Danio rerio: one gene and its partner. The protein of the gene in region 1 purifies or fractionates together with the protein of each later gene. This does not show direct contact. Links are inferred from orthologs where the notes say so. Each region holds a gene or a part of one and is shown on either strand. Other genes may lie near its edges.

Region 1 (3,838 bases):
GTTAGGTAGGTGGCAGGCTGCAGATAGGTAGCTGTGGCAGAAGTGGCAGGCAGGGGCGGGAACAGCTTACCTTGGTTCTGGCTGGCGCGAGTTCCCTCCTAACACTTCCCGCCCGTTACAGCGTCTAACAAAGGGGCGGGGTGCATGGTGACGTCACCGGCATCCCCGCCCCTTTGTTTACACGGCGGGCGGGGAATGCCAGTGACCGCTGTGTACGGATAGAATCAGCGGAGCGGCGAGCGCTCTCTCTCCCCGCTTCGCTGATTCTGTCAGTGTACAGCGGTCGGCAGGGGCCACAAAATATTGCACTGAGGGCCGCAAATGGCCCGCGGGCCACAAGTTTGAGACCCCTGATTTAAGTGATCTCAGCACTGTAATCTACTTCAGCAAAAACTTGCTGGTCTGTCAAAATGAATTTGCCGAGCCTGTTGTCATCTGACAGGAGTGTCATCTGTGTGCACTCATTTTCTGCTGCTGTAGCTCATCTGCTTCAAGGTTCAGTGTGTTTTGCGTTCAAAGATGCTCATCTACAGACCTCACTTGTAATAAGCGATGATTTGAGTTGATGTCACTTTACAATCAGTTCAAACCAGTCTGGTCATTCTCCTTTGACCTCTGCAAGGCAAATTAACCCTTAAGCATAACATCTGTTATTTGGATATTTTCTGACAATTATTTGCAATCTTTAAAGATGGTTGTTCAAACCCGGACCAGCCCGTCTGACTCCATTGATCCAGGCACATACCAAGTTGCTTAAAGTCAGTGTGACATCAAAATTTACTATGTTTATTTAGCTTGAACACTTTGTCATTATTTAGGTGAACAGTTAATCTGTGCAAATTACTGTGATCAATCAAAGTCTGACCATCTGCTTCTGGTTTGTGGTTATAATTCTTCTCTGCTGATGTCAGTTTGACTGCTTCAGCCACAGTATTCTTAACCATACCCCTCTTACCGTTAGTTTGCTATGAGGGAATGATGTGCAGAAACATAGCCCCACCCCAAATCAATAGTCTTTTTCAGTTGGGATGTACATCAACATACTGAAATAAAAGTCTCAGCAATAGGGTTGGGCATCTAAGCTATAATGCCGATCCGATACGCATCTCGATACAAAGAATACGATCCGATATATTAGCGATACATTTATGACATATTGCGATGCAACACGATACGATTCACACCCATATCACGATACGATGCGATATTTCAGCACTTAACTAATTAGATCAAGTTTATGAGATGATGTGAAAGAGGATGCTGTGCCATTGAATGAGTTTGATTATTTATTAACCAAGCAAAACCAAGACTTTTTTACAAACTGGCTCTTCTCTCAGAGCCAGAGTGTCAGTTTACAGTAGAGGGCCATTTTAGAACATATAGCACATATTATTTAAGTATTTTCAAGATAAACAGAATGTATAAGTGCAATATATATATATATATATATATATATATATATATATATATACATACATATATATATATATATATATATATATATATATATATATATATATTTGCACTCTTTCAACATAAATAAATTTAGCATTGCACAACAAGAATTGTGATTTAACTTTTCAACTATGAAAACAAGTTTTACAAAGATATATTTTGCCACTGATTATTCAAAACTTAAGGTCGTGAACTAGCAGTGTTATGCTGCTTTGAAACATCACTGTCACTGTAAACAACAGGCTAATAAAAATATAACAAACCAGCAATTTTCTTGCTGTGAGGTGGTCAAACTACCCACTGTGCCACCGTGACACCCAATTATTTTTATCATTATTATTATTAATATTAATATAATTAAATAAAAATTAACAGGAGGAGGTGTTTAAAACCTTCGTTCTCCGTGACACTAGGCTGAATATCTGTGCAGATGAACAATGCAATAGCATTCGTTATTGGCGTAGAGCGAGCAGAACTGTTGCGCATGGAAAAAAAAACTTTCAATGCTTTTCTCACCACTTTTGGAGCTGGTTGAAGCAGTGCGAAAGCCGGGGATGCAGAAACACTAGAAGATGCTTTCACAACAACACCGAGGCGCCGCTTCAAGTGAGATATCAGATTAGTCGTACTGCCCGCGTATTTTACAGATGCGCGGCACATTTTGCAAATTGCATCTGTCCTGTCATGTCGTCCATCCTTAAATCCATAATGTTGCCATACTTTAGATTTAAAACTCAGTGGGGAATAAAATGTTTGTTTTGCTTCTCGCACTTTCTGAGGGCGCTCCACTAGCTTCATCCGCACACCTGATACACTGAGTTGTAGTGTGTGCACATCCGCAAATCCGTTGCTAAGGCTTACTTTATGTAGGTCGATTAAATTATGCGCCAAAACAGGTTGACAACACTTGTTAATAAATAAAAAATACATTCTATATTGAAAATATAAGCTGTATCTCGGAAAAATCGATGCATCTCGCAAAAACTGATGCATCTCGATTTGCTTCCAAAATTTCATTCATCCTCTGCTGCTCAACCGATGCACTCGCATCGTGCACGCGCATGACCGCGTATCGATACATATCGGTTAATCTTCCCATCCCTACTCAGCAACTTCCAGGTCATGCAGACTTTAAATCACATTTCTTTCTCATTCTAATGCTCAGTTTGAACTTCAGCAGAGATTGATCATGCCTAAATGCATCAATCATGTGATGGGTTGATTAGAAGTGTACTAAATATGTGTCTTTTGATCATATTTCAGTGAGAGAATTCAGTGTATTTTCTGTTATCTTCAGAACTTTCGTCAACACATTCATCCAGTTCAAGAAGCCCATCATTGCTGCTGTGAATGGGCCTGCCATTGGTCTTGGAGCATCTATCTTGCCCCTGTGCGACGTGATCTGGGCCAATGAGAAAGCTTGGTTTCAGACTCCTTATACAACCTTTGGCCAAACCCCAGATGCCTGCTCGTCTGTTACATTCCCTCTCATCATGGGAGTTGCATCGGTCAGTACATTTAAGTTTTTTTTTTTGTTTTTTTTTACACTTGAATATTTAACTTATTTGAATTGAGCACATCATGTATAGTATTTATTGTTTGTCGTATGCATTCATTCATTAATTTATTATCAAGCCTTAATCTGATACTAGCTAGAGATATAATTTATATGATATGTTGATCTCTTGGCCTTACTCTGATGTAATAGGTATTTATTTGCCATGTAAAATACATGGGGGAAAATTTGACCACTTTGTAATTGAAAAGTTTAGAAGGCCCAGTGAAAGGTTAAAGGCTGATTTATACTTCTGCATCAAGCGCACGCATATGTTCCTGCGCAGCCTTCATGCGGTCGCATAGCCCTCACTGTGGCTGATGCTGACATCACTTCTCAAAAAATGTAACTACTCGACGCGTGATTGACTCTGTGATTGGTCGACTTGGTAGCTGTGACCAGTGTGGGCAGAACCGAGAGCAGCGTGAATCCATTGGAGCGAGTGTTTACAAGTGTCAAGTCCCATAAAGTAGCTCTAGATGGAAACTGTTTTGTGTTTATCTTATGATTAAAGTTGTTGCACATCCACTGGTTCCTGCCTCTGAATGTGCGAGCTTTAGGTACTTATACATTAAGGTAGCGTTCAGAAAAAACAAAACACCAGCAAAGAAACACGACGCAGAGGAACATATAAATCTACTGCCAGCTACTGTTTTGAAAGGGTTATTGCAGAGCAGAAGTTAATGCAGAAGTATAAATCAGCCTTAATAAAGCTACATTCGGTCCAATAACTAGGGCCAGATGGAATCTGCGGTCGTCTTTTGCCATTCCTGTGGAGAATTTTGGTAAAAATATGTGGATTTCTGCGGAACTATTTTGGGAGTATCA
Region 2 (3,938 bases), on another chromosome or scaffold:
AAATTTAATAATTATATTTTATTGCTAAATAATTATAATTTGTCTTTTAAGCTGTCATATGGTCCTGTTACAAACACCATTCAAATGACACAATGTGCCTCATCTAAAATGGGGCATGTTGTCACATTCTATGTTAATTTCTCAGTAAATACAGCTCATATATTTTGGCGTATTTGAACAAAACAAATTCATTAAATAGATATATTAATCAAATGAATATATTAGTCACTGGTTGTCTTTAGAAATGGAGAGTTAATACATTTAAATTCATGCAAAATATTGAAAAAACAAAATAAATACAAACTAAAAAAAATTCAACTAAATTTTATATCTTTTTTATTTTTTTATTTTTCCTCTTTTTAATGTAATATTTTTTCTAACATAAATTGGGGTGTACTCATTTTTAGACTGTTATCATAAGTTATTTTATTAGATTAGCTCGCGATTTGGCTTCAGTACTGACTCATCTAATGTATATACACAAATATAATATTGTAAAGCAACATATATTGGAAATATGAATTTAAATGATATATTTGTAAGGGGTAGTACTCATGCTGAGCACTGTAGGTAATGAAAAAGTATACAATGTAACTATGAAACAAAACCATATATTTGTACTAGGTGTGTACTTATTTTTTAAATACATGTAAAATAAATTTGTAAAATAAATGCTATATTATGAACCCCATGTGGATTCACATAAACTGCTACATCAACCAAAATAAATATATATATATATTTAAATATTTTTCTGGTTTCTGTTCTAGTGTGTTTTGCTATTATAACAACTATTAGCATTAATAAAATAATCATTTGAAGAGAGCAGCATAGCCCCGTGAGATCTCATTTTTAAGGGGTGTCCCTTATAAGAAATTCACACAATTTATAAGTATTATTCATTAGTTATAAAAAACAATTATGAGGGAAACAAAGGGTCCAGTACCTAACCTCCATTTTAAAAGGTAAAACTCTGTAAACTTCTGAAAAATATCCAAGTATTATTTGCTATTTAACTTATTGGTAATATTTATACAACAAAATTAATTAATACTGCTAAATATATATTCTGGAAAATAGTTTTTTTTTCAGATATTAGCTGTGTTCATGTGATGGTGGAACTTTTATTTTGTAGTGTTTGCAACTCTACTGCAGCTGTTCTCCTCTTCAGAGTTGAGAATTAAACAATTGTTATTGCTGGCTTCACGCAGAACCTACATCAACTATGGCGGAGGTAAGAAACATTACAAATTGCAGCAAATAACGCGTCTGAGAGAATCGCGTAATGTTTAAATCAACGTATCTTAATTTTTCATTTTAGTCTATTGAACCATTACGTATTTCTTAACATTCGAGCTCTGAATAATTAGCAAACAGTTTAAGGCGCCCAATTTGAATGTGTTAGCAGCTAGCAGCTAACTTGTTGCCTGAGCGCCAAACTCACATCCAGGTTAACTTATTCTTCTATTTTTACTATTTAACACAAACATTGTGTAGTCAGTTGTAAGTAAAGATACCCGGTTATTTTTCAGAGTCTTTATATTAACAAGAGGTTTTATGTACGTTAATACGTCTTTTCTCTCATTGTTTTTGTTTTTAAAATGTGTTGTTTTATCGTAGCGCTTCAAATGTTGTTTATTCATTTTTTTTCAGCCCTCCTTAAGTGCTTCAGGCTCAGAAGGTAACGTAGATTTATGATCATGTTGGCTGTGCTTCAAAGCTTTTCTTGTGTGTGTGTGTTTGTGTGTGTGTGTGTGTGTGTGTGTGTGTATGTATACATATACATACACACACACACACACACACACAAATATGCATACTTAAACATGCATAAAGATATGTACTGTATTTACACAACTGGTCAGTAGTAAGGGGTCAGTTTTTATTTCATTTATTTTTTATTGTTATTTATTATTCTGTAGATCAAGGCGGGATTTATTAAATGTAAAAAAACAATTTTATATTTATTAAAATTTTAAATTATTACTTTCTTATTGTATGTAGTTTCAAATGAAATTATTACTCCTTTTATTGTTGCTTTCATTGCTATTACATTAATAATAATAATTAATAATAGAGTGATTTCTTAAGGATCACGTGCCTCTGAAGACTGTAGACTATATATAAACACACATGGATACATGAGTATAAATATAATAAAACATTTTTGAACATGTTAAGTTTTCTCTGTTTGAGTTTTTATTATGTAAACAATGCCAGTGTTTATCTTTAGAGCGGTTAAGAAATCCATATTTGTTGGAATAACTCTGATATTCAGTCACAACAAATAAAAACATTTCATTTGATCCTTTGTCATTTTCAATTAGAAAGAAATATTAATAACTAATTATAACTAATAAATAATTAATATAGAATAAAACCATCATTATAAATAAATAATTACATTACTTATTAGTTTTATTATTATTATTACTGTTCTTTTTTAAAAGTGAATAGATAAAACTAATAATAATATATCTTTTTTATTAAATAGGAGCACATGCAGTGGTCCAGGATGAGGACAAAGACTTTGATCCTTCTGCAGACATGCTTGTGCATGATTTTGATGATGAGCAGACTCTGGAGGAGCAGGAAAAGCTGGAGGGAGAGACCAACTTCACCAATGAAATTGATGACCTCACTCGAGTATGGGGCATCTGTTGTTTTATTTTTTATCATTCACTACATGTGCTCATGATTAAGCCCTTTTAATAATCGACATGGGTCTAATTTCATTATGTGACTGCACTTCGTTTTGGTAGGAGGGTGAGATGCCCATCGAGGAGCTTCTGAAACTGTACGGCTACAGCAGTGGTGCCTCTCCAGAGGAAGAGGAGGAAGATGTGGAGGAGGAAGATTCCACAGAGAACGCTTGCAGCAAAGTAAACCCATTTATGAAAATATTTTATATGAAAATGATATTAAGTAATTTAATATATTGTGATATTAAATATGCACAATATTGATATTGGCACAACAATTATTTGTTTATTTTTTTTAGTAGTGCATAATAGTACGTTAATATTGAGTCTTAATTGTTTTATTAAATTAATTTGTAATTAATTGAATGTATTTTTAAAAAAATAATATCAGTGCTTCCTACATAGACTTTATTTGGGTGTGCTGCCTTGTTTTTTTTTACTATTATTATCATCCTTGTACATCTTTTTTTTTGTATCCACCCAATATAAACAAATATCCGCGAGCGATTAAGTAGTGAAAAATCTTCTCGTCTGTACCTGTGTCGTATCACTTGTTCTGTTTGTGCGAGACAGTCTCACATGCTCTGCAGACTATGCTTGAAACAACAGTATCTCTAGCAGAAAAGATCTGTTTTTGAAACAAATGATGACAGCAGAAGTCAATAATTAAATTTTATTATTTATTCAATGTTTTCTGCTCCAAAATACTTTAAATGTTTCTCACAATAAAATATATTCTGTTCAAACGGGAAAAAATATATATTTTTTTACCCAGGCATTTAAAAAGTATATATTTTAGAGCAGTAATCACAATACCAAGAAAATGTGATATTTTTATTCAAGATTATCATACCTTCAGAATCTAATGCTGGCCCATGCCTACTGCAGACTCACAGAGACCTGCAACTTTTCTAAATCTACTAAAATGTCCGGGATTTGGTTTTGCTTTCTAAGCTGTCGTTAATTTTATGCGCACAGTCACAAGAGAGATATTAAATAATAAATTATTTAATCTTAACGATTCAGAAGAACTTTGAACTTTCAGAAGAACTAAATACTCGGAGAGGACTACATTACATCTAAATTGGCTGCAGAATATATGTACACCTTTAAAATGGGTAATCAACTCATTTGCCTCATTTAAATAATCTACATGTTTTATTCTTGTAATTATTATAATTTATTTGTGATATTGTCTGTTTTTTCTGTCATTTATTTCTCATTTGCTATCAATTT

What was found.
Region 2: the proteins of cdyl (region 1) and mier1a purify together in Homo sapiens (co-immunoprecipitation; 3 studies listed by BioGRID and IntAct, counting the BioPlex papers as one, with this or other methods). This does not show direct contact. The link is inferred for Danio rerio from reciprocal best matches to the Homo sapiens genes CDYL and MIER1.

Annotation. Positions count from the first base shown.
Region 1 is NC_133177.1:26,961,242-26,965,079, reverse strand, and holds part of cdyl (chromodomain Y-like protein), read left to right. Parts: intron 1-2,752; coding exon 2,753-2,963; intron 2,964-3,838.
Region 2 is NC_133181.1:37,372,336-37,376,273, reverse strand, and holds the start of mier1a (mesoderm induction early response protein 1a), read left to right. Parts: upstream 1-1,186; 5' UTR 1,187-1,225; coding exon 1,226-1,234; intron 1,235-1,653; coding exon 1,654-1,681; intron 1,682-2,494; coding exon 2,495-2,646; intron 2,647-2,762; coding exon 2,763-2,882; intron 2,883-3,938. UniProt on the Homo sapiens protein: Transcriptional repressor regulating the expression of a number of genes including SP1 target genes. Probably functions through recruitment of HDAC1 a histone deacetylase involved in chromatin silencing.